Linked DNA regions of Daphnia pulex. Each later gene encodes a partner of the first gene's protein in a complex. Links are inferred from orthologs where the notes say so. Each region holds a gene or a part of one and is shown in the gene's direction. Other genes may lie near its edges. The genes, in order: WASH complex subunit 1-like, WASH complex subunit 3-like, WASH complex subunit 4-like and WASH complex subunit 5-like.

The links.
Region 2: WASH complex subunit 1-like (region 1) and WASH complex subunit 3-like share a complex: the UniProt entries of both Homo sapiens proteins name them as parts of the WASH core complex. The link is inferred for Daphnia pulex from reciprocal best matches to the Homo sapiens genes WASHC1 and WASHC3.
Region 3: WASH complex subunit 1-like (region 1) and WASH complex subunit 4-like share a complex: the UniProt entries of both Homo sapiens proteins name them as parts of the WASH core complex. The link is inferred for Daphnia pulex from reciprocal best matches to the Homo sapiens genes WASHC1 and WASHC4.
Region 4: WASH complex subunit 1-like (region 1) and WASH complex subunit 5-like share a complex: the UniProt entries of both Homo sapiens proteins name them as parts of the WASH core complex. The link is inferred for Daphnia pulex from reciprocal best matches to the Homo sapiens genes WASHC1 and WASHC5.

The regions. Positions count from the first base shown.
Region 1 is NC_060023.1:12,046,613-12,054,287, reverse strand, and holds WASH complex subunit 1-like, read left to right. Parts: upstream 1-3,044; 5' UTR 3,045-3,135; intron 3,136-3,203; 5' UTR 3,204-3,387; coding exon 3,388-4,015; intron 4,016-4,078; coding exon 4,079-4,677; intron 4,678-4,755; coding exon 4,756-4,881; 3' UTR 4,882-4,986; downstream 4,987-7,675. Other genes in the region: transketolase-like, read right to left, coding at 22-566, 626-890, 956-1,351, 1,412-1,646, 1,706-2,041, 2,114-2,214; endosome/lysosome-associated apoptosis and autophagy regulator family member 2-like, read right to left, coding at 5,023-5,076, 5,137-5,457, 5,519-5,651, 5,724-5,909, 5,994-6,196, 6,270-6,414, 6,479-6,987, 7,080-7,279 and 1 more. UniProt on the Homo sapiens protein: Acts as a component of the WASH core complex that functions as a nucleation-promoting factor (NPF) at the surface of endosomes, where it recruits and activates the Arp2/3 complex to induce actin polymerization, playing a key role in the fission of tubules that serve as transport intermediates during endosome sorting.
Region 2 is NC_060025.1:877,724-884,727, forward strand, and holds WASH complex subunit 3-like, read left to right. Parts: upstream 1-3,399; 5' UTR 3,400-3,509; coding exon 3,510-3,560; exon of another isoform or gene 3,561-3,627; coding exon 3,628-3,792; exon of another isoform or gene 3,793-3,833; intron 3,834-3,914; exon of another isoform or gene 3,915-4,028; coding exon 4,029-4,406; 3' UTR 4,407-4,521; downstream 4,522-7,004. Other genes in the region: bacchus-like, read right to left, coding at 610-708; 60S ribosomal protein L44, read right to left, coding at 2,538-2,675, 2,743-2,916, 3,269-3,271. UniProt on the Homo sapiens protein: Acts as a component of the WASH core complex that functions as a nucleation-promoting factor (NPF) at the surface of endosomes, where it recruits and activates the Arp2/3 complex to induce actin polymerization, playing a key role in the fission of tubules that serve as transport intermediates during endosome sorting.
Region 3 is NC_060026.1:1,372,160-1,380,303, reverse strand, and holds WASH complex subunit 4-like, read left to right. Parts: upstream 1-3,161; 5' UTR 3,162-3,336; coding exon 3,337-3,400; intron 3,401-3,467; coding exon 3,468-3,985; intron 3,986-4,051; coding exon 4,052-5,988; intron 5,989-6,061; coding exon 6,062-6,327; intron 6,328-6,397; coding exon 6,398-6,999; intron 7,000-7,058; coding exon 7,059-7,145; 3' UTR 7,146-7,280; downstream 7,281-8,144. Other genes in the region: protein Wnt-2b-A-like, read right to left, coding at 48-310, 517-805, 933-1,213, 1,292-1,530, 2,041-2,117; uncharacterized protein LOC124204736, read right to left, coding at 7,408-7,602, 7,673-7,719, 7,904-8,077. UniProt on the Homo sapiens protein: Acts as a component of the WASH core complex that functions as a nucleation-promoting factor (NPF) at the surface of endosomes, where it recruits and activates the Arp2/3 complex to induce actin polymerization, playing a key role in the fission of tubules that serve as transport intermediates during endosome sorting.
Region 4 is NC_060017.1:7,244,763-7,252,684, forward strand, and holds the start of WASH complex subunit 5-like, read left to right. Parts: upstream 1-3,284; 5' UTR 3,285-3,765; exon of another isoform or gene 3,766-3,782; intron 3,783-3,841; 5' UTR 3,842-4,074; coding exon 4,075-4,199; intron 4,200-4,267; coding exon 4,268-4,358; intron 4,359-4,415; coding exon 4,416-4,607; intron 4,608-4,675; coding exon 4,676-4,896; intron 4,897-4,958; coding exon 4,959-5,184; intron 5,185-5,259; coding exon 5,260-5,926; intron 5,927-5,995; coding exon 5,996-6,379; intron 6,380-6,448; coding exon 6,449-6,552; intron 6,553-6,624; coding exon 6,625-6,841; intron 6,842-6,904; coding exon 6,905-7,178; intron 7,179-7,236; coding exon 7,237-7,399; intron 7,400-7,463; coding exon 7,464-7,566; intron 7,567-7,655; coding exon 7,656-7,839; intron 7,840-7,922. UniProt on the Homo sapiens protein: Acts as a component of the WASH core complex that functions as a nucleation-promoting factor (NPF) at the surface of endosomes, where it recruits and activates the Arp2/3 complex to induce actin polymerization, playing a key role in the fission of tubules that serve as transport intermediates during endosome sorting.

The DNA.
Region 1 (7,675 bases):
AGTGACTTAAAAAAAGGGCGTTTACAACGCAACAAGTTTTTTCGCGGCTTCGGCAATAGCCTTGGCGCCGATTCCAAAATGTTCTAGGAGAACCTCTGGAGGACCGGAGCGGGGAACTTCGCGAACTGCCAAAATCTTGACGATAATATTTCGTTGTTCGGCTAGAGTTGAAGCAACAGCCTCACCCAATCCACCTTCTGGGTAATGGTCTTCAACGGTCAAAACCCGGCCGTTGCAACGAGTGGCTTCCTTCAACAGCAAATCGTGATCAATGGGTTTGATGGTAAATGGATCGATGACAGCAGCCTTGATGCCGGCTTCCATCAGCATGTCGGACGCCTTCAGCGCTTCGTGGAGTGTAACGCCGGCGCCAACGATAACCAAATCGTCTTGATCGTGACTACGAACAACGTGACCCTTTCCAGCAGAGAAAACTTGTTCGTTCTCGTAGATGACGGCTGTGTTGGGGCGAGATGTACGAATGAAGCAAATTCCTTTGGTTTTTCCGGCAAGTTCGGCGGCTCTCTCGCAGCTGACGGCGTCGCTGGGATAAAACACGGTGGAGCCTACAAATAATAATTCGTTTAGTCAAACATTTCCCTAAAAGATGTCACTTTAAACTCACCTGGAATGGATCTGAACATGGCCAAATCCTCAAGTGCCATCTGAGATGGGCCATCTTCTCCGATGGAGACTCCAGCGTGTGATCCGACGCAGGTAATGTTGGTCTGCGAGATGGCACCCATGCGGAGCTGGTCGAAAGCTCGGGTGAAGAAAGCGGCGAAAGTAGAGACATAAGGGATGGTGCGATTACGGCATCCGGCTCCGATGGCTACTCCCACCAAGTTCTGCTCGGCGATGAAACACTCGATGTAACGCTCGGCTGACACCTGATAATAGCGTTAGTTGAGAATTAACAAAACGTTAGAATACAATGACCAATAAAATCAATTACCTTCTTGATTCTGTCAGAGTAGGTGGAATTCTTGGTGTCACCATCCAAAGCAATGACTCGGGAGTTGTGCTCTGCCAACTTGGCCAAAGCAGTTCCGTAGGCGAAGCGAGTCGCGACCATTTCACCCATTTTGTAGGCAGGAGGTGTGGAAAGACGGAGATCATCAATGTCGACCACTGGTGCGTCATTGAGGGGCTCGAGAATTTTCGGGGCACCAGTGGCAGTTCCGGGTTGCATCTGTTGTTCGATGGCTCGGATAACTTCATCAGCCTTAGCACCAAGAGGCTTTCCATGCCAATCAAGCTCATCCGAAATGGATGGGAACTTGTAACCCTTGAAAGTCTTGGCCAAGATGGCAGTGGGTTTGCCAACGGTAGCAGACGCTTCATCGAAAGCCTTGAGAAAACATTTTGTTTACATTTTGTTACTGGAAACACGAATCTATTTGAATAATACCTTGCAGAGTTCTTCTACATCGTGTCCGTCGACAACGATAGCGTGGAAACCGAAAGCTTCCAGCCTTTTGCGGTAGACCTCCATGTTGTGCTGGAGAGAGGTTGGCTCAGATTGGCCCAAACGATTAATGTCGAAAATTGCACACAAATTGTCAAGGCGGTAGTGGCCAGCAAAGTGCAGAGCCTCCCAAATGGATCCCTCAGCACTTTCACCATCACCAATCAAACAGTAGGTCCTGTCAAACAAAAATAACATTGGATCACCAGAGTCAAAATGACTTAGAAATATTAATACCTGTAAGATGCCTTATCAAAGTGTTTTCCCACATAGGCCATTCCACAGGCAACACTCAGACCTTGTCCAAGGGATCCAGTGGCAACATCAACAAAGTTGAGACGGGGAGTAGGGTGACCCTCCAAATCGCTGTCCAACTTCCTCAAGTTCATGATGTCATCGACAGGGAAGAGGCCAGCTTCAGCCCAGGCAGCATACAGGATTGGAGCAGCATGCCCCTTGGACAGGATGAAACGATCTGATGACTTGTCTCTAGGCTCAGACAGTTTGTACTTCATGACACGGAAGAAGAGACAAGACATGATTTCTGCCATGGAAGCGCATGACGTTGGGTGCCTTTAAATTAAAAACAGGAATGTCACATTAGAATGACATTTGCATAAATGACTTGTATGTGAGGTGTCTTACCCAGATTTGCTGGCATTAGTAGCACGAATGGAGTCGATACGAAGCCGGTCGGCCAAGTTACGTAGCTCAGCAACGGTCTTGTCGTCCAGAGTAACAGCCATGTTGTTAGTCTGGGACGTGGCGAAAGAAACGAAAAAGTTCAAAAGCGATCCGCACTTCATTCGTGTCAAAATTAAAATGAGACCTAGTCTTGTCTTGTTTCTTAACTATATTGGTACATGGCGTATTTTGGTTGATCGATCAAACGCTACATTTTGAAATTAAACAGAGATACCGCGAGACGAAAGAGAGCGAATAAGTTAACTTACCAAAAAGAGCCTTCAGTTTGTATCGACTTTCTCCAAAGAAAGAGCGGCTACGAATGGTTCGATTATTTTGGGGCCGCAACTGAGCAAAACGTCAGGAGAGGAGGGGACGTCGTCGGCTGATCGATACAATGGCGTCGTCATTTCGCAACCGGTTTCCAAATTTCCTCAAGAACCACATTAATAAAGCCAAAGAAGAACCCAAAATTTATAAAATTCATCCCGTTACATGGCTTTATAGATAGAATATTATTGTCGAATAATTAATTGAGTACTGATATCGAAATGGATTCGCGTAAATTTGGAGATCCACCGTTAATTGTTTTCTACTCTTTGACTTTGGCAGTGTAATTGAAATTGATTTTAATGCTTCTCCGAATGCGTAAAGAGGCAATGAACGAGAGATTAAGTAGTCCGTGACCACATTCTAATAAAAGAGCATTAGCCTCTGTTCTTGCTCTACTTTCACCGTTACAAGTTCCTTCTACGTCTATTTTCTCTTTTAAACACGAAATGTTAAGTCTTAATCGACCGAGTTAATTTTATTTCTCAACCAAATATCAAGGAAAAACTTTCGGACCGCAAGGTTTTGTCGTGGTTTTATTTGTTTTCGTTCTCGGTTTCCAGTTTCGATTACGGTGGCCGCACCGCCGCAGTCTCGATAACAAATTATTTATCATGTGAATATCGCAATTAAATTGTGAAGCGAAACCAATAGTAAGTTCAATTTCATATAATTTAGAGTTTTTAATAAACTCAATTAAAGTATCAATTACAAATTGCAGGTTTGGCATCACAGGATTTTGAGAGGCGGATTATTATTTCGTCTGCTATCGATCAATAGTAGTAATTTGTCAACAATAATGTGACTCATGTGAGTGATGTGAGTAATCTCCCGATATTACAAATTAAATAATTAAATAACATGACTTTTAATTCAAACCATTAATAGGCGAACATTATATTAAAATGGCGGTTTACGAAATACCTTTGGTGTCGTCCAATTTGCGTCCAAATGAAATGATCACTCAGATGGCAGATACGTTAGAGTTTCTGGATCAAGTGTCTAGTGATATTTTTGCCAGGGTTACACAACAAATTCAGGAAAGCCGAACGAGAATCAGCAACATTCACAAGAGAGTTGAAGTTGCACAGTCCAAGATTGATGGACTCAAGGGCAGCCGCAAGGCCACCAAGATATTTTCAAGTTCAAGATTTCCTGGGAATTTGCAGGCCAACAGCAAAAGCATTTTCCATAAAACTAGCGTGAAATTCAGCAGAACTAAAATAGACTTTGATGGTTCAGAATCGATTGTGGATGGAGACATGGTTTTCTATCCCACACATCAACAAAATGGAACAAGACGTCAAACACCTGCTCCTCCGAGTTCTGTATCAGAACTTTTGATTTTCAACACAGAAGATCTGGCCTTCCAGAGACAGTCAAATTCAGATAAATCTTCTAAATCAACTCTGCGTCGTAAACACGATTCCGAAATCTCTACCGACACTTCAATCGGAGAAGCCCCATGGTCCATCAGTAGTCAAAGAGATCAACTTGAACGAAGCAATCCTCTCAATTTTTCCTACATGCCCGGTAATTTTTAAATGTTACATTAACTGAACTTTTTTTAAAAATTATCCTTTAATACCTTTACAGGACTGGGAGACGTTCCGGAATTGGATCTTCCTTTGGCCCTTCCAGACTTGCCAGGCGTTGCGGATGATTTGGCCTACAACGAAGACGTTGGCCCAGGGATCGCACCTTCACTGATAGCGGCCCTGCCCGATTTATCTCAACTAACTGAAAACATCAAAACTGTTAAACATTACCCCGTTCCACCACCACCTCCGCCGTTCATTCCTGCTCCAGTCATCTCAATACCTCCTCCGCCCCCACCACCTTTAGCAACAATTCCACTTCCTCCTCCTCCCCCTCCACCACCTGCAGTCAATCTTCCTTTACCTCCACCACCACCTCCTCCTCCTTCTTTGCCAGCCGTTAAAGTATCGCCAAGTGTTCCAGCTCCGAGCACCAAGCCCAGCGCTGCGCCGCTGGATCGTTCTAACCTGATGGCGGCCATTCGGGAAGCGGGTGGATTGAATAAACTAAAATCCTCTGCTCGTGTCAAGCACACGCAGGCCGTTAAAGAGCAACAGCAGAGTGGCAGTAGTAAATCTTCGGCTTCAACATCTCATCAAGCTCCGGCGGGCGACTTGATGGCCGATCTCTTTAACAAGCTTTCCATGAGGCGAAAGGTCATTTATCTTTTTCGTGTGTGTCGTTACGTTTGAAAAGGAAAATGAGTATTAACTTTACCCGATTACGTTGTACAGGGAATTTCTGGTCAGAATCAAGAGGTTGCCGGCCCGATGGAAAGAATTTCCGCCATGATTCCACCTCCTCCTCATCCAGCAGGCGCCAACGTCTCCAGTTCAGATGATGTTGAAGATTGGAAATGATATATATTTTTTTTGTCGATTGAAATTACAAAGAAATACAATCGCGAGCCTCAGAAACAACAACACAAGAACGAATAAGTAAATATAGAAAATCGCAAATTTCAAGCTCAAACTTTCTTTCTGTCATTTTTCTTCGTCGTTCTAAGATTGTGCTTCCGTCAATTGAATTGTCTCAAACGGACTGCCAGATTCGCTCTAAAACATGAAAACAAATTCAGTTATTTGATTTAAAAAAAGGAAAAGGTTGAAACTTACTTTGTAAGCAGTCATGGAACGTATTTTGTTGACTAGACCAAAGCTTTTCATAGGAACAGTCACCGATACTTCGTCCTCCTCATCTTCGTCGTCATCCAGAGCGCAACTTTCGGCTGCCGCCAATTCCGTTTCACATTCGTTGCTGCCATTGTCTTTGAGACTGGAGGTCGTATCGTTGCCACCGCTACTGTTGCTCGGTGTAGAGGAGCGCTGTCGCGCTAGGCGACTGTATTTGTACTCGAGTCGACGGTTGCGTTTCCAGCAAATGAACACGGTCAAACAGAGGAGGACGGCCGTTCCCACACAACCCATAGTAATCAGCTTAAAATAATAATCATCATGAATGAGAATTATTTTCCCTTTTTTTCTTGTTTTTATTTACCTGCAACACAAAAGGAATTTCAGTCGAACAGGGAACTTTCTTTGTTCCGGGAACATCGTCGGCCATCAGGCAATGCTTGGGGGCCAAGTAGTGAACATTCTGCTCCCCAGCGACGCACTCGCTCTTAACGATCCTGCGGGTAAAATGGCAGACGTCGTCACAAGGGATTTCAAAATTGAATTTGTACAAAAAACAGTGGACCAACTTAATATCCTGAGCGCCACAAATGGGACAGACGGTACTGGACGACCAGAGGAAATGAAAGTGACATCCGTCGCATGTGCCGTCCGGACAGCGCGACGGTAAAGTCACTTGGCCAGCTCCCGGTTGATCGGCATCGCAACGTAGGGTGACTGTCGTTGTTCTTCCTTTCGGACACGATTTGGTCGCCCTGCAAGGACAAATCCAATAAAAAACAACCGAAGGGTGAAATCAAATTTAGGGGAAGAATGACGCGACAAGAATTTATTGTTACGTTGGGGTGCCGAAAAAGACGTGCAAGTCCTTTGGGTTGTAGAATTCGTCAAGGACCCGAGTTTCCCCCAACTGGGCTTCGTTGGTTATGCCAAGCAGGTGGTCACCTAACGTCACTGATTGTGTCGAAAGGGGACTGCTTCCGCCGGAAGCATCCACACTCTGTGAAGGTATCAGTGTCGTCCGGCAAATCAACGCTTTCACCTGCAATCGATTCGAAAGCATAAATTACAATAAAAATTAGCAATAAATTTAAAAAAAGAAAATGAAACTCAACTGATTTCGGCTCGCCCTCGGCCTGGAATGTGATGTTGTTGGCACAATTGACCGGCTCACGACCGCATAGACTGATGTTAAACACGTGAAAGTATTGCATGCCGCTGGCGGTGAAAAGCAAACTGCCTCGCACTTCGTGGAACTTGCTGCTCAATGGGGAAAAATAAATTGATAGAAAAAGTATCAAAAGAAAATTGGAATGAGCGTTACCTTCCGATTTTACGCAGGTCGTAGCGAGTTCCGTTGATGGTCGGCGTGCAATCGGTCGTGCACGTCTTGCTGTCGGTGCTGATGAGTCCAGGGCCGCAGTTGATGCAGGCGGACTTGCCGACGGCTCCTGGATCCAGGACAACCGTATTGGCCGGGCATGGCTTACAATGAGTCGAGGCCGCTTCTGTGTAGTGACCCGGTGGGCAAGGGATGCAGCCGGATGCATCGGCTCCCTGGGCACAAGGTAGGCAGACGGAAGCACCGCCTTCGATAGTATTGGTCACGTTGACTTGATCGATCCTGGCACTATCCGTGTCAAATAGTCTCAGTCTCTGCACACCGGTGGCGCTGTAGGGCAACATGGCTCCGACATCCTCTGACCAAGCCTGTTTCTGGAATGCCCAGTTGAAGGTGTACGATCCGTTTTGAGGGATCGAGTAACTAAAGTGCTGCTTGGGCACACGACCACTCCACGTCTGGATCACCGAAATACCTTTGGTGGGAGAACTCTACTCGGGCGGGCGGGGGTTTTACCGGGAACACATTTCATTAGTCTCATATTGTCTCATAGTAGGGGGTGGGGATTTGTAAGTGAATTCACCTGCATGAAGACAAATTGGCAATCTCCTTCACAGTCGAGCTGGAATGTGAATGAAACAGTTCCACGACCGGCTCGGAATCCCTTCTCAATCTTCAACGACAAGATGAGATACGAATCCGGTGCATGGCCGTGTCCGGTTCTCAGGTGGTCGCCGGATGTCAGCCAGGCGGCGGCTGTTGTGCACCCCGTCCCTGTGTAACCTAACTCATGTTTAATTTAAAAAGGAGAGGAGAAATAAATTAAAACCAATCCAACGGATTAATAAAACTACTTGGGCAAACCTTCTAGACTCATGCAACGTGAAGACATGAGACCCGGAAGAGCGCTCCACCAGATGAATTGAAGCCCCGTATTGGGAGCCGTTGAAGGAGGACAAGCTCGACAGGGGCGGATTCCATCTGAAATGCTTCCCGGTGGGCAGAAACGACAGGTACCCGTCGTGTAATCCATCTGCATCCCTGGATTGCACGGCGGACATTTTCGACGCTCAGCGCCCGACGGCAATTTGGCCGACGACGGAAGGTCATCGCGACAGGTACGCGGCTCCACCCACTGGTACGTCACCAGAGTATTATTTCTCTCATCACAAGCCGAAT
Region 2 (7,004 bases), on another chromosome or scaffold:
ACATGTATCAAATGCATGAAAAATTACTTATTAAACATGTCATAACGACGGGACAATGACCTGAAGAAACTATCATGTACAACATAACAAATAAATGGAAAGTTATGTGTGTGTGGTGGAAGGAAGCTAAGGCAGCCCCAGCTTAAGGACAAACATGGCGGCGCGTCATCGCGCGCACACACACACACACACCGGCTTTTCGAGAGAGAAGTGAAAGGCTATCAAACTCAACGGCAACTCTGCTCAACGCGCCAAAATTCTCGAGTCCAACGCTCGAATTCGACTCTGACCAAATAGTTGTCACATAATTTCCCAAATATCTAATGATTACGATCCCTTTTTCTTAAAGAGTAAATATTCCAACAACAGTCATGGCGACGGGATAGAGCGTGGGGCTCAAGCCGGCCCCAGACACACGCACTCAACACACTACACACATACACACACACACACACACAAATGGCGGCAAGCACGCGGCGCGTGGGTTCTCGAGTTGATCCTTAATTTAGCCATAACGAAACCCCTCTTTTCCAACAAATTTCCTCGTTACAGACTTATTCAGAGCCGACATGAAGACAATGTAGTAAATAACAAAAAGATGGAACTTACTTCTGCTGGCCGTTTTGTGCCTTTGACTGCATCTTTCTTGGCGTCGGCGGCGATGACTTCGTCGGCTTCAACTTCCTTCGTTGCTTCCTTGGAACTCATTTTGTTTGGAGGTGTGTTGTTGTTGGTTGGTTGAGCGTGAATATTTAAGTGAGACGAAATCGAGTGGATTTTGCTCGACCGGTTCGAAAAATTATTTTAAAAAAGACTAAGAGAAGATGGAGAGTGCCTTAAAAAAGGAAGTTTGGCGCGTTCGCAAGAGTCTCTGCTTTCGAGGTGTTATAGACGGGACGGTGTAGAGCACACTGGTGGGGCCCCAAGTCTTTGGTGACTTGCATCGCCTTGTATCGGCCTCTAGCGGGGGGGTTGTCCTTAGCCTCGGGTTTTCGGTGGCAAAGCGCGTCCCTTTTGCATTTCGTGGCGTCTAGATCGAATCACAAGACCCCTGTTGTATACCAGCGCTCCAGCTGGATAAACTCCGCCCATTCCACTCTTTTCATTATGGGGAGAGAGGGGGGTAGAGGGGGTGGTAGGGTGGGGTTGGAAAAAGGTACCTTAAAAAACTCGGCTCTCCAAAGAGAACATATAGCCGTGTCGATATATTATATGCGCTGGGCTAGCCACGCTGCTACCCAGATGGCTCTGCTTGGAGAGTCCATTTTTCCCCTTCCTTCTCTCCATTCCTAGGTCTTCCAAGGTATTACCACCAGTATTAAAATATATATATATATCTCTCGCATGTATGCATATATACACTACTATACTATACCGGTATACTCAATGAGTGAAGCGTGGGGTGGTCAAAAAAGAACCAAGTCGAATATCCCCTCAAGCATAGCGAGAAAAAGCCGGTTCTGTGTAGCGTGGTCTCACTCTCGTACTTGGGATTTTCAACTCGGAAACTTTCCCACTGAAATTTTTCGAATTAAAAATAAAACTCTTGTTTTCGAATCGGTTAGCCGAAAGATAAATGAGAAACTCGCCGAAGCAGATTAGTAACTAGCACGTCACTAGACGTCGGTTGCACCACCAGCGTGATTTTTTAACCCCTCTACCGGCCATATTTTTACTGGTTTATATATCATGGGTAGTAGTTGTCTAGGCGGCGGATTGAGAATCCGCGCGAACCAGAAAACAAAGAAACGCTCATCTCACGTCTCTCCCTCATCTCCCGAAAATACCGGGTAGTTGACGTTCTTCCAACTAAAAGATAATAGCCTTATCTTCTCTTTATCCCCTACAGACGCTCAAAGCGTGGTCTACAACTAGATTGTTTGCATCAAACAGATAAATGGAAAAACTCTTATAATTCGTAACCGACTTGTTTATAACACACTTGTCATTTCTTTTTTTTCGAAATTATTTACTCTTCAACGACATTTTTCAAGTATTCTCGTACACTAAGAATGACCGGAAACTCGTTCACACGCATTTTAACAGACGCCATTGAATGCTTCACTCTTTTTCTATTCTTGTTCTCTCGCCATCTACAATCTTCGTTTTCTCTTCGACATGTACACCGCGAACGCGTCAACCAATGACGAAGAGTTTTCCTTATCGCTTTTTAGACGATCGAAGCGTTCAGTCTAACCGTCCGATTGTGGTGTCGAGTTGGAATCATCACTCACAGATGGCGTGATGGGCTTCACACTACTTTTCAAGAGCTAATTAGGATAAAAACTAAGGCAACTCTTAACTACTAAGAGCAAAGCTAGATTTAACTAAAGCTAGCAGATTTCTCACATGAATACTTGGAATCAATTGGTTGATTTTTCACCTAGCAAATATTTGAAATCAATAAATACCCAAATGTCTCGCATGGAGCCATTTCCCTACATTATCATAGGGATTAAGGAAAGTAATGAAGACTAATAACAGACTATAGGCGCCAAAGATGTTGTATTGGCCAGCACAAGGTGATGACAAACAGTCTAGAACTGAATCATCTGTCCCTTCCTCTTCTTGTCACCTCCAAGTTCAAAGTGCTTGCAACGCTTGAGGGGGATCTGCTTGCGGACTTTGCATTCTGAGCACTCCATCCTCAGGACAATCTTTTTAGTGGTCTTGGCCTGCGTAATTCAACAATGAGAAGCATTAGTACACAATTCAAGTGAACCAATCTTTAAGTCTTCATACCTTCTTCCTGAAAATAGGTTTGGTTTGACCACCATAACCCTTTTGTTTTCTGTCGTAACGACGACGACCCTGGGCAGCACTACGCTCCTTGGATTTCTTGTACTGCGTCACTTTGTGGACCTTGTGGGTCTTGCATTTTTTGCAGTAGGTGCGACGACTCTTTGGTACGTTCACCTAAAACGAGATCAACAAGTCATGAGCCGGTGTTTTCGACAACAAATTATGACAGTTTAAATGCACAACATACTTAACAACCACATACTTACAACTACAAAGAGAAATTTACACCTTAAACTTTTAAGTAATGCTAGTATTAACAGTCAAAATAACATGTCTAGTCAAGGTATCCATATGACAGACAGAGTGACAAAACAGATTTTATACCAGTCAAACGAAAAGTCTACCAATTGACACAGAATGCTAATAAACATCATCGAATTCTACTGCAAAAAGAGATGCTATATAAACATATAAGATGGTTAAATATCAAAGGATGTTGCGAGATATTAAATCGACGAGACTATACCATTTTCGGACGAACAGGCGAACGAAGTGGAAATGAGACAGAATTCTCTCCTCCGGATTGCAAGTGAACAACAGAGTTGCCTTGTTCCTCAAATAATTCGACCGCTGCGCCTGAAGGGGATGGATTCTGTGTCGTCTGCTAGAAGAAAAACAAAACAATCAAACGCGACATTTATCCCATGGATGTGATTTAATAATTCGTATATTCCACGTCGTTCTAATCAAGGAAGAAATACTAAGGGATGGAAAATAAAGGACTACCTTTTTTCGGTCCTACTGTCGAGTTCTCTTCGGTTCGTTTGTATTTTTCATTTTCGTTTAAATTGGATGATGGCAGTAACACATTTTAATGTTTGACAGGTTCCGCCCATCGAAACTAAAAGAATTTTGAGCTATTTCAACCAGTTTGTTTCCAATTCAGTTCAGTTACTAAACAAATTTGCAATTATATGTGATACCAAATTGCTGGATCTCAACTTTCGACTACAAGATGTTGAAGCCACATTAGCCATTCTCGAAGCAAAGGTAAATTCCTTCATTTAAACATTTCAATTCCACCAGCTCTTCTTTAAAGATGCATAAATAGGGAAAATTGGTATGAAATTAAATTTTCATGAGAAACAAATTTAGATTAAGCAAGACCATACCTACTCAGTTATTTAACAATACATGTCGAGCCAACTCACTCAAGTGTATCACTTTGGGGTATGTTTATCATTTATAGACAATGAATGGCTGATTCTTTTTTCTTTTGAAAACAGTTGGCTTCAGTTCCTGCACTGGAAACTACTTCAATACCGGCCATCCCACCTACAGTGCCTGCCACCAGCTCAGAATCTGTACCAGTGGCTGCAAGCGTTCAGATCCTTCCATCCGCCGTTCCACCAGTCTTTCCTGAAGATGTTTCTAGCGTCCACCAGACGGCGGTGGCGCCTCCGAATCCCGAAATCCTTCGGTTCGTCAAAATGCTTGCCTTTGGGGTTCCGTTAATGGCCGTCGAGCAGAAAATGCGAGCAGAAGGTTACGATCCATCGCTGCTCAACAGCGGCAAAGTTGACGTCACCAAGGCCCCACCAGCACCGCGATCAACCCATTCGAGCTCCGACGACGACGAAGAATCAAACAGCGACGACTATTAACACAAATAACAATTAATCATTTTCCCCGAGACTTATGAAATTTCAGTCTTATCGTGCCTGTATACTTGATGCATGGAGAAAGGATTCCGATCATACATAGACATAATCAATTCTCGATCGACGGTTGTAACCGGAGAGCCTTGATGAGAGAGTCCGAACGCGTGATGATTTATATGTTTGGCCCCACGTATAGACAATATACCACAACAACAACAACAACACTCTTGAATAATGCATGTCAAGAAAAAGAGTCACGGGCCCAGCACTCAGGCCGATTGCCAAGACTCGTACGTCCTTGAGAAAAGCTTCCAGTTGTGCGTTAGACGGGAGAGATGATCTCTCCGGACAGCCCACACGAGGATCCCGACAGCCAACCCCACCACTCGGCAGATCCAGCAGTTTCGACGTATCAAAGCCCCCCCCGCATATTGATTTGACAATGACACAAACAGGCCTCTAATATCGTGTTAGTGCTGCAAATCGTCGGTTGGGTTGGTTTTTTTAAATTTTTATTTTTTTTTTCATCCTCTCCCAGTCGAGTCAATAAAATGAAATGCAACTAAAAAGGGGTGGTGTATTTTTAGATAACACGGACCCGGCGAGTTTAATTTTAAAACAAGCTCGTCGCCCAGCTGTACACCTCGGAACTCTGGAGAAAAAGAAAAGAAGAAACTTGGAGCTCTTTTCTCCTAGAGTCAAACATTTTCCACGAAACCTATACACACACACAACACTCTTGGATATCGTAACATAACATTCAAATGTAAACATTGGTCTCTTATATGTATAGGTCCGAGTGGCAAGAAGAGAAAAACTTTGGCCCATTTGGAAAATAACAAGAACCCCATTTCTTCTAGCTCGCAGAGTGTGTGGTGTGGGGGCATCCGGCGGGCAACAGTAGCAGCCCATTGGACCCGATTTTGAGTTTCTTTTCTTTTATAAACGGAGACCGTCGACGACTAGCGTCCGTGGCAGGAGCGAAATGTGGAGCACGGCCGTGCTAAACTTAGAGCCTCTTTTTACCTAGCGACTGACTCACGACTCTATTTGTGTCGGTGATGCGGGCGCGGTGGGTGTCGATCGTCCCGACAACTTCAAGACAAACACACACACACACACTTACTTACTTGTACACACGATATATACTGGCTTGATATGTTTCAGCTGGGCTACAAGCGTGTGATTCATTTGAAGCCCAGGGATTGCTGGGAGAACTATTCGATGAGTCTTAACGGACAACATTTGAACGTTGATACGCACGCACGGCGTCAGCGATGAGCCACACCGCAATTTTGTTTTTGCTTTTCTTTTGTCCTTGGTGGCTCAAAGATGTGTAATCGATCCTGGAATGGACCGCGTCTATTTTCGGTTGGGAAAAATACAAACGAGAAGAAGAATGAAGATTCCTGATGATCTTTTTGTGCGCGCGGGGGTTTTAGATGGTTTTAAAAGCGATTCAGGAGCGATATCTTTGATGCTCAACACCTACTTGGGAGCAGTCGAAAGGAGGAGCCCTGCAGGAATTGAAAAGGATCTATGGGATCCAACCTTCTATCTCATATTGAGGTCTAACAAATTCTTCAAAGGAGGCCACACCAAAAATTCAAAGGCCAAGAATATCAGACAGCTCATTAGCTAAATGGCGGCTGACCCTTTTGCGGCGGTGTCCCGAGTGTGTGGCACTTTCCAGCTGGCACGGCCGGGAAATGGCTTTTTGCGTGACCCCGTCCCTTGGCTGGCTGTTGGCGTGCCATCTCATTTCCATAGTGGTTCCACAAAGGAGCTGATCATCTAGCAGGACGGGGGGGTTTCGTCATCGCGGGAGAGAGAGAAATGCTTCTCGTTCCAGGCGCAACTTTCTCAAGTCACACCCACAATTTGTGCGTCTGGAATCCTTCCGCCGGTATAGTAGCAGCGTCTAGCCGGCCCTATATTTGGGCATTGGTCGAAAAGGATATTTTTTCGGAAGATTTTTTTTTTGAAGAACGGCTAGGAGCTGCAGAGAATCCGGGCAATATCACGGGTAAACGGTTTCCCCTATATCCCCCCTCACTCCAACCGATATAACTCCCGCAAACGCACGCGCTCTCTTTGACGATGACATTTGTCCGTCCCCGGGGTGACAGATTTCGTCTCGATCGATCACGTCACAAGACCCGCGAGGGACATTCGCCCGCTGGCACTTCTCCTATCGCAAATGGATAACAATTTTCTAATAGGGAAAACATTTTGAAGCGCCTATATAAGAACGCTCGCGCTCTGATGCCGTTTTCTCATCTTCAAAAGTCCCGCGCGACTATTTTCGACAGAAGAAGAAGTACTACACAAGAAAATAAAATAAAATGTCGGCTGTCACCGTGCCCTCGTCCGTCGAGGTCACATTCCTTTGCCCGCGTGCAAAATTTAAAAAAAAAAAAAAGTTTCATTTTATCCCGGTTCCGACCGACGACCATCCCGCGTAAGTTGTAGCGATCCTATATCCAACACACAAGGCGATGATTCACGGCTAAACTTAGAAAATGCGGAGAAAAAATGTGCATATAGCATCATGCACACACGAGGTACTAATATCCACTCTGTATTTATCGTTTGGCCACA
Region 3 (8,144 bases), on another chromosome or scaffold:
ATTTTTTGTTGTTGTCTAGTCAAAATTCAATATTTAATTCGGTTGTGTCATTTCTTCTGATTCTGCTGCTGCTGTTTGGTGGCGTTGAATTTGTTGAGTTCGAACGACTGCAGCGGCTTGCAAAAGTGCTCGTCCTTCCACTGGGTGCACGTCTTGCACTCGACCGAGCAGCACCACTTGAACGTGCAATTGCACGGCGTCGACACCAGCACTCGCCTCGTGTCGTAACCGCGTCCGCAGCACAGCAAATCGCATCCGTCGATACCTTTCGAGGTTTTATTACACGGTCTTCCGGCCGTCCCGATCGAACCTTTATTTTAAATTTAAAAATAAATAATTTGGTTTTAATTCATTTCAATATTTTTTAAATAATAAAATTTAAATCTAATTTGAATATTTTAATTTTAATTCATATGAATATTTTAATAAAGAATTATTTGGTTAATTCATTTAAATATTATTTGAATATTTAAATGAATTTGATTGAATCAAATTAGCATTTTTTGTTGAACTCACCAGTGAGGGGATCAAAGGAGCAGTAATCGGACGAGTGTTCCAGGTAGACGAGATCGTGAACTTGCGGCGGATTGGTCTTGAGACTCTTGCGGTTGTCGTTGAGATGGTCGGCCGTGATGAGGGTCGTGCCCGACGGGTCGGAACTGACCTCCAGCGAGGCGTCGTATTTCTCCTTCAGGTAAGCGCCGACTTCGCGGAATTCCGGAAGTGTCGTCCAGCAAGTGCGGACGTTGCAGGCGCCCGACACTCCGTGGCATTTGCATTGATGCCTCATCAATTTGTGAAGAGCCTATCAATTCAAATCAATTCATTTCATTTAATTCATTTATATTAATTCATTTAACTATTAATTATTTCATTTTTTAGTTGAATAATTTGTTAATTTCGATTGAAATTGCCAGTGAAAATTAAATTACCTTTCGACCGACTCGGTTGTTGTGGAGGTTCATCAAGGCCCTTGAGTCTCTCATCTTGCGCTCGCGGGCATCGATGAACTGACGGGCGAAATTGCTTCCGTAGCGGACGTTGGTGGAGCATCCGCCCCAAGCGAATTCGCCTTGCTGGTCGTGGTGCTTGCCCAGTCTTGTCTTGTCGCAGGCGCAGTTCAATAGGTCGCCGCGGTTGCAGGCCCGAGAGATCGAATGGACCACGCCGGCCGAGCTGATGGCGTACACAAAAGCCGCTTCTCGACTTCCGGCTGTTTAAACCCCAAAAAATGATTCAAGTTTAGTTTTATTTTAAATTTATGTACATACAAGATAAATTAGAGTCTTACATTTGACCAGGGATTTGCCAAAGACGGTGGCGTCCCTGTCGATGGTGGAGCAATTCCATCGGTGCTGGCGGAATTGGAATTGGCACTCTTTGATTCCGGTGGCGGCTCCCTCGCCAACCTGGACCATGTGATCCGGATGCTTCTGGCAGAGTCGTCTCTGCTTCCGCTCCATGCCCGGAATGTGATCGCAATACATCCGCGGATTAGCCGCCGTGCCCAGTTGAAATTTGCTCAAAAACCTGGGCCAAAAAATGGTAAGAAAAATAAAATCAGAAAAAGGGTTTTTTTATTTTATTTTCTTGGTTAAAATATGCTAATTGGTTTATAATATCCGTGCCCAAAAGTTTGACCGATATGCTATGATGATACCTATACACATAGTCCAGGGGATTTGGTCTCTACCTTATTACGAGAGCTGAGCTGAGCGGTGGTATCTTTATAAGTAATTACGGAAGCCTTATTTACACGCACTCACGCTCTTATCGCATAGACGCAATCGAGCGAACGTGAAATTGAGACACCCTTCAACCCTCAGGATTATATAGCATAGAGAAGCAACCCTAGCAAAATGGCTGTCACCGTTTCTCACTATCCTAGAAAATTTCGTTATAAACGTTGCCGGCCATCCAGCACTAGTGCAACTTCCCTAAATCGGTTAACCCCTTTCCCATCCGCTTCACCGTCCAGGTAGGGGGAAATCTATATACTTAAGCCCAGCACTCACTCACAAACGATATCTCTCAACTTACCACCAAGTGGACGAAGCGAATTGTGGAATGGTGATGACGGCCAGGAATAAGACACTGCTGATCCAGTGACAGCGCATTCTCTTTGATTGGGCGATGAGTTGATTAGATACAAGAAATCCGTTAACAGTATAGACACACACACACTGAATCCTCTCAATCACTCGGGAAGAAATCAATCAATCAGTGAGCCACCATAACACACACACATAGAACTGGCCGGCCACTAAACTAACAAAATATAAACAAAGCCGTACAAGTGTTACGATTTTCTGTTTGGGGGATAAATTGACTGTGAAAGTTTTGAAAAGTTGAAAAGAACTGGTGGTGGTGCTGCAAGTAGCTGGTGGTGATACTCGGCCGATGGCCAGAACGGGAATAAATACTTTGGGCCACCCAGTCCGGCTACATATACTTAGGTGGACCAAGAGGGTTGGGTGATGTCTGTGTGTGGGTGGAGCGAAATAAAATAAAGACGGGCGCCCAGGATATATAGATTCACAAGTTACAATTAATAATTTTTGGGTACTGGGGCGGAATCGTGAGAAAATTCTTCGATTTCGCACCTCATCCGCTATGTCCGATCCGTCGAGACCCTTGGCATATCTCAGGTGGGTTGTTTAAATCGAGCCGCTGTATATCTATGCTACTGCTGCTGGACCTGTCCGGTGTGGGTGACCTTGCGCGTTCACTTTTTTCTCACCATTTGCCCAGTAGTACGGTTGTCCAGGAAAGAATGTGGCACCCACCCAGACATTTCGGGGTGGTGCGAATAATTCACCCCACCGTCTAACTCCTCTCGTAATTCCCACTGGGGTTGTATAAAACAAGATCAACCCGGCGTCATTAGTTTTCATCATATTGGATTGGGGTGAGGGGGAGAGATTAATCCACCACCCCCAATCGATTGCTGGGCCCAGGTTCCCCGTAATCTATTTTCTCACGATGTTTTAGACCGTGGGAAACCATTTCGCCAGAAACACATCAAAATGTTTTTCGATTGACCATTTATAGTTGTTACGTCACAGTTATTCTTTGTTATCTCAATACCCTTGTTACACTAATGTTACATCATCGAAAGATGTAAATTAACCAATTTGGAAAAATTGGAACTGTTTCGATTTAATCCCATCTGGCAACTTTGTGATCTAGCAGACGACTTTGGTATTCCGAGAATTTGAAGATTCAGATTATTTTTTTGTGTTTCCAGAGCTTGTTTACGTGTTATTATAGTCACGGGCGTTTTTTAAATGATTTAATTGATTTTTATTGAAATATCGTGTTGCTTTGATTTTGAAAATGGTAGGGATGAATGGGAACTCGACAGTTTCCAACCACGAGTATGGGAGATATGCCGCAGAAAGTGAGTTGGTTTCTTTTTTAGTTGTGGTAATCAGTTTCACTAATCTTTTGCCCTTTTTTTAATGTAGAGGTGGCCAAAGAATATGTTGCAAGAGAATATAGCGAGTTCATGGTCAAGTGTGGCTCGGATCTGGAAGCTGTGTGTCAAATTCACGAAAATTTGAGCAAGGAAAATGTCAGTCAGACAGTCAGTCTGGATTTAGTTCCCAGCGAAGACATCTCCCTAGTCGACCTTGTCCACTCTGATCACGAAGAGCTGAGAAAAGTCGTCCTGGCTTTGGGGCATTTAGTCAGCGAGATGGACTTTCTGGTTGAAGAGGGGAGGTCCTTCTATTACCCTCTCCTCTATTACGGTGAGGGTGTGGACGAGAAAGCTCTGCAGTCTGGAGAGGGCCATGCATGTGCCGGTAGAATGGTCGAAACATTGCAAAAGTTGTTGAGCTACGTCAACTATTGCTACAAAGTGATCAAAAACATGGTGGGCCAGCTTTCAAGATTGTACTGCAGCTCAGACGCTGGACCAAAATACTTTGAGATTGGCGAAACCCATTTCAAAATCATTTTCGAAAGAATGGGATGTGTGCTGGTATTTTAATTCTCAACTTTTCTCTCAAAAATATCCCGAAACTAACACACACTCTTTGCTTTTCAGTCAATCCTTGTGAATTTGGATTCCATCATTAACCGAAACAACTTGCTGAGGGAACATGTTGCTCAGCTGCAGCATGTAGTTCGATCCATTCAACACAACGCCTCCAATTTCGACACGACGCCGGAAGATTTGCGGCTGCTGGACTTGTCGCTCGACGAAATCACCGAGAAAACTCTTTCGGGCACGCTCTTCCTCCGATGCATGAACCAGAGTTTCCCCACCAGCAACAACAAAGTCTTGCTGGACGAGATTTCAGCCAACGTCAAGGGCTTCCTCGAAGAATTATCGTTCCGTCTGGACAAGGAAGGCGAGCGGGACAATTACGAGAACATGCAAAAGTTCCTCAGCATCGTCTGCCTGTTTGTCCTGCACGCTCACATTGGCCTGAAAGTGGACAACCGCCAGCTCAAGACCATCCTGGATGTCGCCAAAAATTCCATCATGGCCGTCCCTCTGGTCGGGTCGTGTCTGTGGTTCCCTGACCAATTCTTGTCGCTCTATCTACCCCGTGGAGACCGGGCCGTCGATAGCAAAATGCTGGAAAGTGTCGGCTCTGCCCGGTTCCAGTACGTCCGCCAGCGTTCCCAGCAGCTGGCCAAAGACCTTCAAATGTGGAACACGAAAATCGTCCTCTGGCTGTCGAGGCTGAGCGGCCAGCACGTCAACAGTCAAGAAGAATTGACCAATCAGTGCTGTTTGGTCCTGCAGGGACTTCGCTACGTGGCCAAACTGAGCGGCGTCGTCCGTCTGATATTGAACCTCCACTTGGCCATCCAGCCAGTCATTTCCAAAGGCACAGTCATGGCCGCCTTTCAGACGTTTGAGCTCATCAAGACCTTGCAAAAGGCCATCGAGAAACAGCTGACGGATTACCCTCAAGCCTGGATGCACCTGCAACAGCAGCTCCGTCGTTCCGTCTCCGACGTAGTCCAGTTGGCCGCCAAGCGATTAGCCGGCGAGAAGAGCAGCAAGAAACGTCCCCGGAAGACGGTCAGCGCGGCTCTGGCGTTGGCCCAGCGAGTCCTGAAAGGTCCCTGCACATCATCCCGTGTTTCGACGGCCAGGATTTCGCTGGCCATAGCCTGCACCGCCTTCCAGGACGAAGAATTGTCCTTGCTGGCCCATCGCCTCCAGAAGATGGAGCTGCTTTCCGTTGGCATACGCCACCGCTTGAGTTACCTGGCCGATTGCGAAGTCTTTTACTGGCACAAATCTCTCCTCAACACTTACCTGCCGGAAGCCCGTGAAAGACGCTTCGAATCGTCCCGGATTGGACAGACTCTGATGGCCGTCATGGACTGTGAATCGGCTCTGGCCAGCGTCAAGCATCTGGCCAATCCTCGACAGCTGGTGGAAGGCCATCAGAAATTCATCCGCCGAGCCCTGGACGTCCATATTTTGGAGCCCCTGTGCGCCTCGGTCGAGACGGAATTACGGATCCAGTCGCACGCCCATCTCCACCCGACGCCCCGCAACCCGTTCAAAGAGTCGCCTTGTTTGAGCGCCCTGGGCGACTTGCCCCTGGGCCGGCACGAGCAGCTGAGCGTTCCCCACCGGGTGGAACACTATCTCGGCCAGACGTTCTACAATCTGGCCGCTTTGGCCTCTCACGATTGGCGCAAGTACGGCCAGATGAGACTCTTGGCCGGATTGGCTTTCAACCTGAAGCCGCTGCCCGACCGGCTGCCCAGCCAGACCCTGGAGCAAGGGCTCGACGTCCTGGAAATCATGCGCAACATTCACCTGTTTGTGGCCCGTTTCGGCTACAATCTCAACAACCAGTTCTTTGTCGAGCAGTCGAGCACCAGCAAACACTTGAGCACGATCGGCATCAAACACGCGGCCAATTCCATCAGGACCCACGGGTCCGGCGTCGTCAACACGGCCGTCAATTTCACCTACCAGTTTCTCCGCAAAAAGTTTTTCGTCTTTTCTCAGTAAATGAAATTTTCAGACTTTTATTTTATTTTTTAAATGTTGAACCGTTTGAATTTTTCCCGCCCAAAAAAGGTTCCTGTACGACGAGCACATCAAGTCGCGGCTGATGAAAGATGCTCGTTATTTGCGCGAGCTGAGCCAAGGCAAAGATTCGGCACTCCGATATCCGTACGAGCGCGCCGAGAAGTTCCATCGGGGCATCCGCAAATTGGGACTCAATTCCATCGGATTGAGTTATCTGGACCAATTCCGCATACTCATTACCCATCTCGGAAACGCTTTGGGCTACGTCAGGATGTTGAGAAGTGGATCCATCCATTGCAGTGCCGAATCCTGTGGTATTATTCATCATTCCGGCCGGATTAAAAAGATGTTCAACACAAAATGAATTATTTTTTTTTTTGCCAGCTCCGGTTCCGGATTTGGCGGAATTGGTTTATCTCAATGAAACTGGACTGGATCATCAACTGGGCAGCAGTGCCAGTAGCCTTAAAAACCACAACGATACGATGGACATGGCCGATGGATTATTCGAATCCTTAGCTAAATCTAATCCGGCTCTCTCTAGCCTATCCGAACTGTCCAGCAAAGCCCTGGACAAGGTGCTGGACGATCTGGCTCAGAATCTATCCGAGAGTTCCGACTATTTCAAACTGCTGGTGGACGTCTTCCGGCCGTTTTTCCGCGATCCTCGCCACTCTCACTTGCGCCATTTTTACGTCATCGTTCCGCCGCTGACGGTCAACTACGTCGAACACATCGTCACCTGCAAGGAGAAGCTGATGAAGAAGAACAAGCAGGAAACGTGCACCTTCACCGACGACGGACTGGCCATGGGATTGGCTTACTGCCTCTCCGTTCTGGACCAGTGGAAGGATTTCGACGCCCTGCAGTGGTTCTCATCCGTCAGGGAATTTTTCGAGCGCGAAAGGAAAATGGCCGGACTCCAATCGCAGGCCAGTCAGGACACGCTGAGTCTGACCCTCCACCGATTAGAAACTTATCGACAGGTAAAAGCTGGAAATCAAATCCTTGTCACATAATTTTATGATTTTTATTCGTTTGACAGGAATTTGATTTGTTATTCTACAACTTGAACAGCGCCAGGATCTTTTTCCGCCACGAACGGCCCGTTATTCCAGCATCTTCCATCTAGTCTCTTTCACATTCTCAAATAACACCGTCGTGGATCGAACAAGTTTATTAGAATTAACCAATCGAAAGCGGTGAAACACTTTTTCATTTACTTTCATTTTGTTTACAATTAATATTAAATACAATGGAAAAAGGATTATTTTTTCGGATCGAGAAAAACCCCACAAAGAAATGACGACGGAAGAAAACAAATTTTCGACTTGAATTATTTAAAAATTGTACGTTGAATTTTTCATTTAGGAAATTGTTTTTCCGGTTCATCATCAGACTGATGCTGATGGTGACGCGTTGACTAGTAGAGTTATTGCGCTGTAGATGAGGAAGAATGAGGAAGCGGTGGCGAAACTGGGCAGCATCAGGTTTTTGGTTGCCGCATTGCATCCGTCGCTCTGGCAAGTCAGAATGCATCCGGCCAGACTTTCGTGTTCGTATTTGAATTCTCCGCACTGGTTCTCCATCTGTAATTTTAAAAAATTCAAATTGTTTGTTTGTTTTTTATAATATTATTATTATTATTTATATATTTACGTTTTCCAGGGTACAGGTTCGGATGACTAGCTTCTCCCTGGTGCCATCTAACGGTTCGTTGAAAGTGTACAACAACCGAAAAACCAAATATTATTATTGGCCAGTCGAGAGAAAAGTCAATGTCGTCAAGTCAATCACATCGCACGAAGAGAAAAATGTTAATCAACTAGAAGACAAGGTCGTCAAGAGACTCATCGGCGATTTATTATTAGAATTCTGAGGAAAACTTACAGACTGTGCCGACAACTTTAACGCAGAAATTGGCCGGAAATTTGCCCACGTGACCTTCTTTGGGCACCATGCAACCGATTTTGTAATCGGACATGGCCGGATGGAAAGGATCTTCGCAGCTCATGTCGGTGCCATTGCGAGATGAGCACGTGTAGCAACTGATGCTCCCCTCGGCTATTGGGCAAGAAGAAGAAAACGCAAAACGAAAATGGTCAGATGCTGAAAGAAACTAACACACGCA
Region 4 (7,922 bases), on another chromosome or scaffold:
GAATGTTCAAAACATAATAAAATAAATACTTTTTAACGTTTCACAATGAATACTAACATTTCAATTTTTGGAGAAACGATAGTTGGGATCCACTGCAAATTTCTTAACTATGTTTCACTGAGATGTTATGCACACTTCCATGGTATTGCAAATGATAAATTATTTGGACTGCAGGTAATAGGAGGAGAAACGTTTTCTGACTTTCGCTCACGACAAAATCACGTAGCAGACTAGTTAGTTTTCATTTCATGAATGCCAACTACACTGATAAGGCCTCCACTATTGATAATACGAGTGACGAATCATGATGGACTTCCAGTTCCAGTGCCCAGTCTAGACTCTAAATTTTATAGAAAGCTATGGACAAATGCAATTATATGAAACTGTCGGGTTTATAAGTCTTAAGTCCACAAATCAATTTACAATTGCCTTCTGATGTCGGCATATTTTTGCAGCCGATTTTGAATGGCATAGTTTTAAGGTATACAAGCAGAGCCATCTAGATACAGTTAGATAGTAATAGTTGTCCTACAGCGGAGAGATTTAGACAGAATTTAGATATAAAATATAATTTGATTGATATTAATTATTTAAATTTAAAAAAGGAGACGCTTTTATTATCCCTGAGGGTTATACTTCTAGTATACCGAAGGCTCTTAAGTTTCTGATCATGTCATGTATCGTATCGTATCGTAGTAATCGATACCTTCTTGGAGTTGGGCTCCAAAAGGTTTATTGTCAGTTTGGTCTTTTGCTATCTTCTTTTTTTCTACTTGACCGATTTATTCCAAATTTCGGTAACCTTCTTAACTTAATTTCTTTGAGTATTACTGGATATTTTCGTTCGTATCTGTTTAAGTTTTTTTTATTTATTTTTTTCCGTAATCCCCATGTGTAGCTTTTCTAGTCTTAGGGCAACTGCATGTTTGTGAGCCTTAGCATGTGAACGCCCGTATCCATTTTCCACTACTTCTTTCCGCAATTTTCATTCCCTTTACTTTTGTCAAGCGTGGTCGAAAGACTCGTAGCCATTGCATCCTAGGATACGTCATGTTTTCTGTTTGTTTTAAATTTGTATCAGTGCACAAAAAACTTAGTGCATAATCGTGACGTGTTGCAGCCAAACTCTCTGAAAAATGGATTCAACAAATTATGGAGGTATTTAAAAATTTCGTTGGAATATTCATGTGACTACTGACTTTGACTACTAATTTCCATCATGTAGGATACATTTTACTCCATATTATAGTCGTTGGTCTATCAAAAGATCATCCACTGACAGCTCCTGATGCCTTGGAATTGGCTTATAAATTTCAAGACGGTGCAAAACAATGAAGCATCTATGGTTCTTTGTGCTAACTTCGTCTCACTCATTGTCTTGGGAATATTGTCCTGCCACAAGGTATCCAATTATATGTTCTACCGTTAAAGTGTCACAAGCTAATTTATTTGTTATCATAGGTTGCATTCCTCTAAATCTGGCTATTAGCACTTTGGCTTCATTGAAAGAGCTTGCACGATAGAATCTTTTTTCCTGGTCACCTCATTCAAGTTGTTTTTTCAGCAGAACTAAACTTTAAGCAAATGGAGCTTTATCACGCTATACCCATGTTCTTCTATTTGCTGGCTTCTTGTCACCGTAGGGGTTCCTCCTTAATATCAACTTTGAAATTTGATAAGTATTGGGATTGTAACATTGGCCACTTTTACCATTATTTGGTATCTATTTTTACAATTTCATAATGGGCTTTTGCAACAAGTTCTCTCCAGAGTCTTTCCTTTCAACCGCGGAATTTTTGAAGATTATGTTGCCAACTTCTGGTGCACATTAAATGTTTTGGTCAAAATCCGACGAATAATGGAACCCACCGCTATCGCTAGATATTGTTTACTGCTAACAGCTCTTTTCAGTTTCCCTTGTGGACTTCATCTATATTTTAAGAACAGTTCGCGTAATTTGCATATCTCTTTGATCAACGTGTCTCTTGCATTTTTCCTATTCTCCTATCAATCTCCTATCAATCAAGTGTCTGGTGTTTGGCTAAAGTGCCGTAAACCAAACATCATCAGTGAAATACTCCATTTTCTAATAAATGAGACACTTGATGGACACTCTTTTGACAAATAAATAATAATAATAGAAATATAAAAATGGCCATTTGATGCATGCCGCCTACGAGATTTTTTCCATTGTTTTTCCATTTTCCATGATCATGGAAACAAAGTATTTGCTGGCGAGTAACAACATTTGTGATTTGATGGTCCCGACGTGTTGCGATCCACGTCAAAATAATTCGTTAAATTTGAAATAAAATGACAACCTCCTAATTATTCATTTAAAAAATAGCCGTGTTTTGGGGCTCAAACAATTATTTCGATAAAAAGAAATCGTTAGAAGTGCCTAACGAAACTCAACTATATTATTCCCTGTAATTTCATGTAAACTACATAAATGAATCCCTTAGAAATGACAATCAAAACATAAAACAAATGACGAACGCTGCTCACAATACCAGGACTGTGGCGTTTCTGACATTACAAATATCTAATTTAAATGTTAAACTAATCACGATGTAAACTACATCTTTCCTTGTAGTTTTTCACGCAGATTCAGCTGATAAAGAAAATAATGCCGAAAAGCGCAAAGTGTGAACGCCAACTGTTCCCTAAACATGACTAAACTACCGAACCAATGGGAAACCGTTCACACAACGTTTAAACCAATGGGAAGCCGATAAGAAATCACATGACATCCACTAAACATTTTTAGACCTTTGTAGCGCAGACATACGGTTACGTTAAATCGCAAATGATTATTTAAAAATATACATAGAAAATACATCACGGTTGTGCTTACGATTGTTTCTCTAAAGACAGATCTTTAATCGCTGTATGGGAAATTTGGTTATTGCTGGACACAGGAACATTCAATGAAGTCGCCAAAGACGACCTAAATTTTTTGGGCGACGGACCTGCAATGTGCGACATGATGCACCGATATAAAAAACTCTATTAAGAACACAGCCATGCATAAAGATTGCACATAACGAATTTAACGATACCATTCCCTCACTACCCTATACATATGGTTCCCCTAGCGACCACACCCATCATTACAAAATGAACGATTATGGTTTATATATTGCCCCGATTTTACTGCCACCTCTTTCACCTCAACATTTGCCATTATTTCCAGCTATTGTACTGCCATCTTGGGGGGGGGGGGGATGACAAAAAACGAATACATAGTTATCCCAATAGCCACAATAACCCGAAGGCGTATACCCAAGGACCTTGTTTGGTCATGGCGGCTTTAAAGTTTATACGACGAGTTTTAGTAGCTACCAGTTGATTAATAGGGAAGCCATTAACTGGAGTAGACATTTAGCAAATGGAGTGCATTATTTAAAAAATAAATGTGTTTACTTTATCGAATTAGTCAACTGAAATTTTAAAAAGGTTAGGCAGACGTAGTCGTGCGGGGGGTGCGGGTTTTAGCGTGTTAACTAATAACTAACCAACGGAGAAATGTTTCAAGTTGAATTCTCAAAATTCAAGGTTATGGTTTTTTTTCAGGGAAAGTGTAAATAAAAGTTTTTCCATGTTTGTCATTGATATTGATTGCTGGTAATTGAGACGTGCAAACCCCGTGACGTGAGTGTTCTGTGCGACACCTGAGCCTTAAAAAATCACACGAAACTGAATGTGGAACCAAGGACTAAATTGACTCTATAATCCTGAGGGGAAAAAATCTCCGTTTCTTCCGTACGCCGCACAATTTTGTATAAAATTATTGTATTTTGTTTTATGAAATAATTATTTATGTTTATTTCCCTTTTAGCCGTCACGTTTTAGCTATTTACCGGAAAAAATTGGAATGGTTGTTAAAGCAGAGACATCTATAAACGAAAAAAGATTTAGCGCATGTTGTCAGGCCTGTGCCTTTATTTTTCACAAGTTTTGACAAGTGATCAACGTAAACAGACGAGATTATAAATTTAGAATTTAGCCAGATTTAGCCTAAATTTATTATTCTATGGATACGCCCGGCTCGACAGTCAAGTTTAATTAATCATGGCTGAAGATTTTTTAGCAGAAAATAATCTGTGTGGACAGACCCTTTTGAGATTGGTTTCAAGAGCTCATGCAATAATTGCTGAACTATTACGTCTAAAGGATTTTATTCCACAGATTTTTCAGTAATAGTCACTTAAAATCTATAAATCCAGTTATATTATTTTATTATTATTATTGTTTTCATTGTAAGGTCCGATCAAAATAAATATCATGAAATTGTATTGGATTTTCGATATTTTAAAGAACAAGATGTCTTTGATTCAAAGATTAATGGAAGCGATGTAAGTGAGTTATCAATTCAGATTTTTTCTCCATTAAAAATTCACATCTTACTCTAGGTTTTAGTGGAATTGGATGAGGAGTTACGAAAGAATTATATTGAAATCCTAACAAGATTCTATCTTGCATTTGAAAGTGTTCACAAGTATGTCTGTGATTTGAACACCTTTCTTTATGAACTTGATGAAGGGATTTATATCCAACAAACTCTTGAAACAATTATTTTAAATGATGAAGGCAAACAGCTCATGGTTGGTTATAAAAATGAATTTTTTATATATGCTTCACCTTTTTAAACTAACCTTTTTTTCCTCTGCAGTGTGAGGCACTTTATCTATATGGCATCATGCTACTAGTCATAGATAATCATGTTGATGGGCCTGTTAGGGAGAGAATGCTAGTCTCTTATTACAGATATTCTGTTCAAAGAACTCATTCTAATTCCAAGTTGGATGAAGTATGCCAGCTATTGCGTTCAACTGGATTTTTGAAATCTCAGCCAGGAAAAAGGCCTCAACATTACCCAGAAGACTATTTCAAGTAGAATGAATTCTATTATTTTTGATTCATTTTAAGTAATGCCTATATGTGGTTGTTCTTAGACGTATTCCGATTGCTCCAATTTATTTGGATGTAGTAATAGGTCATTTGAGATCAGATGATATCTATCACCAAATTGCAACCCATCCGCATCCTGATCACCGAAGCACTGCACTTGCTCAACAAGCAGCCATGCTCGTGATTTGTCTTTATTTCACTCCTGATATTCTCCACAATCAAACAGCAAAAATGAGAGAAATAGTTGACAAATTCTTTCCAGATAATTGGGTAATTAAGATTATTATTAATCTCTTCCGGATACCAACGACTCCAATATGTTGTAATTGTATGGTTCTTTTCTAGGTTACCAGTGTTTATATGGGATTAATTTTCAACTTAATTGAAGTATGGGAGCCGTACAAAGCGGCGCGAATGGCACTCAGCAACACAGCGCAGGCTGCCAATGTAAAAGAGTGTTCAGTTAAGCATAGCAACCAATTGGACCAACTTATAACACAATTACGTCAATTACTCAAAGAAGGAGTCCTGACCGAAGAATTCCTATTAGATAATATGCAGAAGCTGATCAACTTGATCCGACAGTCAAACGTTACTCTACGATGGATGCTCTTACATACAAACACATTAACAGCTGGCGCAGAATCAGTTAAAAAATGCCGTCAAATACGGGATCAAGTTCTCAACGACTCGAAATATCAACCCGTTACAGTATTCGAATTGCTGCTGGACTGCGCTGAGTTGGAACTGAATGTTCGCGAGACTTTTCGAACTCTGTTGACGGAGAAGCGCGCAAATTGGCTGCGATGCAAAAATGAGTGTATGGAACGACTGACAGAATTAGCTGATGTTTTTAGCGGAGCAAAGCCCTTGACTCGAGTTGACAAAAACGAGAGTCTTCAATTGTGGCTTCGGGAAATCGCTCAGCAAGTTGAAGCACTAAACTATGAAGAAGGCACAGCTTCCGGCCGTAAAATGGTTCAGCTCATTTCTGCCCTCGAAGAAGTTCAAGGTATAGGCTCTCAACGTTAACAAGTGTTTCCAGTTCACATAATAAGCTATCCCCACTTTTTGATTGCAGAATTTCATCAACTCGAGTCCCAGCTGCAAGTCAAGCAGTTTTTGACAGAAACCCGTCGACAGTTGCACCATATGATTCGTACCGCAAACATTCGAGAGGACTTTCTCATTACACTCCAAATAGTCTCGGATCTGAGTTATGCTTGGCTAATAATTGACTCCTACACGGGCCACATGCAGACAGCAATTCGGAAAGATCCAACCTTAGTGGGTCGTTTACGAGCAACCTTTTTAAAACTGTCTTCCGCTCTCGACTTACCCTTGATGCGCATTAATCAAGCACGGAGTGCTGACTTGGTTTCAGTTTCGCAGTATTACTCGACCGAACTCGTCTCCTACATTCGTCATGTGTTGCATATAATTCCGCAATCCATGTTTGCCTTAGGTAGTAAAATTTTAATTAAAACAAGATCATTCCTGAAATTAATTTCAATTTCATTTGCCACTCAATTAGTCGAACAAATTGTTCAACTCCAGACTAATGTTATCAAAGAAATGCCAGTGAGGCTAGATAAAGACAAACTCAAGGACTACGCACAACTGGACCAGCGATTTCAGGTATCCTATTTCTAACAAATTGTTAAAATCGAATAAATATAATTCCCTTAAACCCTTCTAATATATCTATAGATTGCCAAGCTTACAGAATCTGTATCAACGTTTACTGAGGGTATTTTAGCTATGAAGACAACTTTAGTTGGTATAGTCCGTCTGGATCCTAAACGGTTACTGGAAGAGGGTATTCGCCGGGAATTAGTACGTAGAATGGCGATGGCCATGCACGTTTCGCTCTCTTTCAATGCCAAAGCAAAGAACAGCGATCTCGCTCACAAGCTAAACGGCTTAGGTAATATGCTTTGATTTGAAAATATCGTTTAAATTTTAATTCTTAATCTTCTTTTTTGTTTAGGCGAAACCATGGAAGGACTCCGTAAATCTTTTGAGTACATCCAAGATTACGTACGAATCCAAGGTCTTCGCATGTTTCAAGAAGAAACAGCGCGAATCGTTGGGTACAATGTTGAACAGGAATGCAATACATTTCAGACAAACCATATTCAAGATTGGCAAAGTAAGTTCCAGTCAACCGCAGTACCAATTCCCCGGATGTCTTCAAACGATCCTCATTCCGCTACGTTCATTGGTCGATTAGCCCGCGAAATTCTGCGTATCACTGACCCCAAGTAAATATTTTTACTTTATATCTTGTTATGTCTGACAATAACTTTGTATTTATTATAGAACAACTGTGTTTGTTTCGTTCACCAACACCTGGTATGACGGCAAATCTCAAACAGAAGTGTTAAACTTCTTACTGTTCTCTCAGCTAGAGCGGGCTCTAAGTACATCAGGATTGGCTGGACTAGACACCCTTTTTGCCTTTATGATCACCACTGAATTGACTGTAATAGCCACATTTTGACATCTTTGTGCTTTGGTATTTTGATGATATAAATTTTCTTCGAAAGAACCTTTTCAGTGACTTGAATAAGGAGGTTTTTCGCCATCAAGATTCTCTGGAAGCTCTAGCGGAATTTGATCACTTAACCGCTCCAACAACGGCGATCCTCGGTGGGTTTTGACTTACTATTTACTGGCATTTCTCTTCTCCCTCGAACCAACGTTAATAGTGATATGAATGTTACCTTTATTTTTTCCAGGCCAGCCAAATAAAACATATGGGGTTTATTGTACGCGTTTCCACAAATCTTTTCAGACGCTCCTTGACCGCGTACTGAAAATCGGGCAATTGCAATTACTCAGACGATCGTGCTCTCAACAGCTGAAGTCTACTGCATCATTCGACTCTGGACTACTTTGGCAAGCACTCGAAACACTGAGTTTGTAAGTTACCATTGTTGTTCACAATGTTTAGTCGATAAATTTCTCTAGCGACGGGATTTGGCAATCTATCTTTCAAACATGTA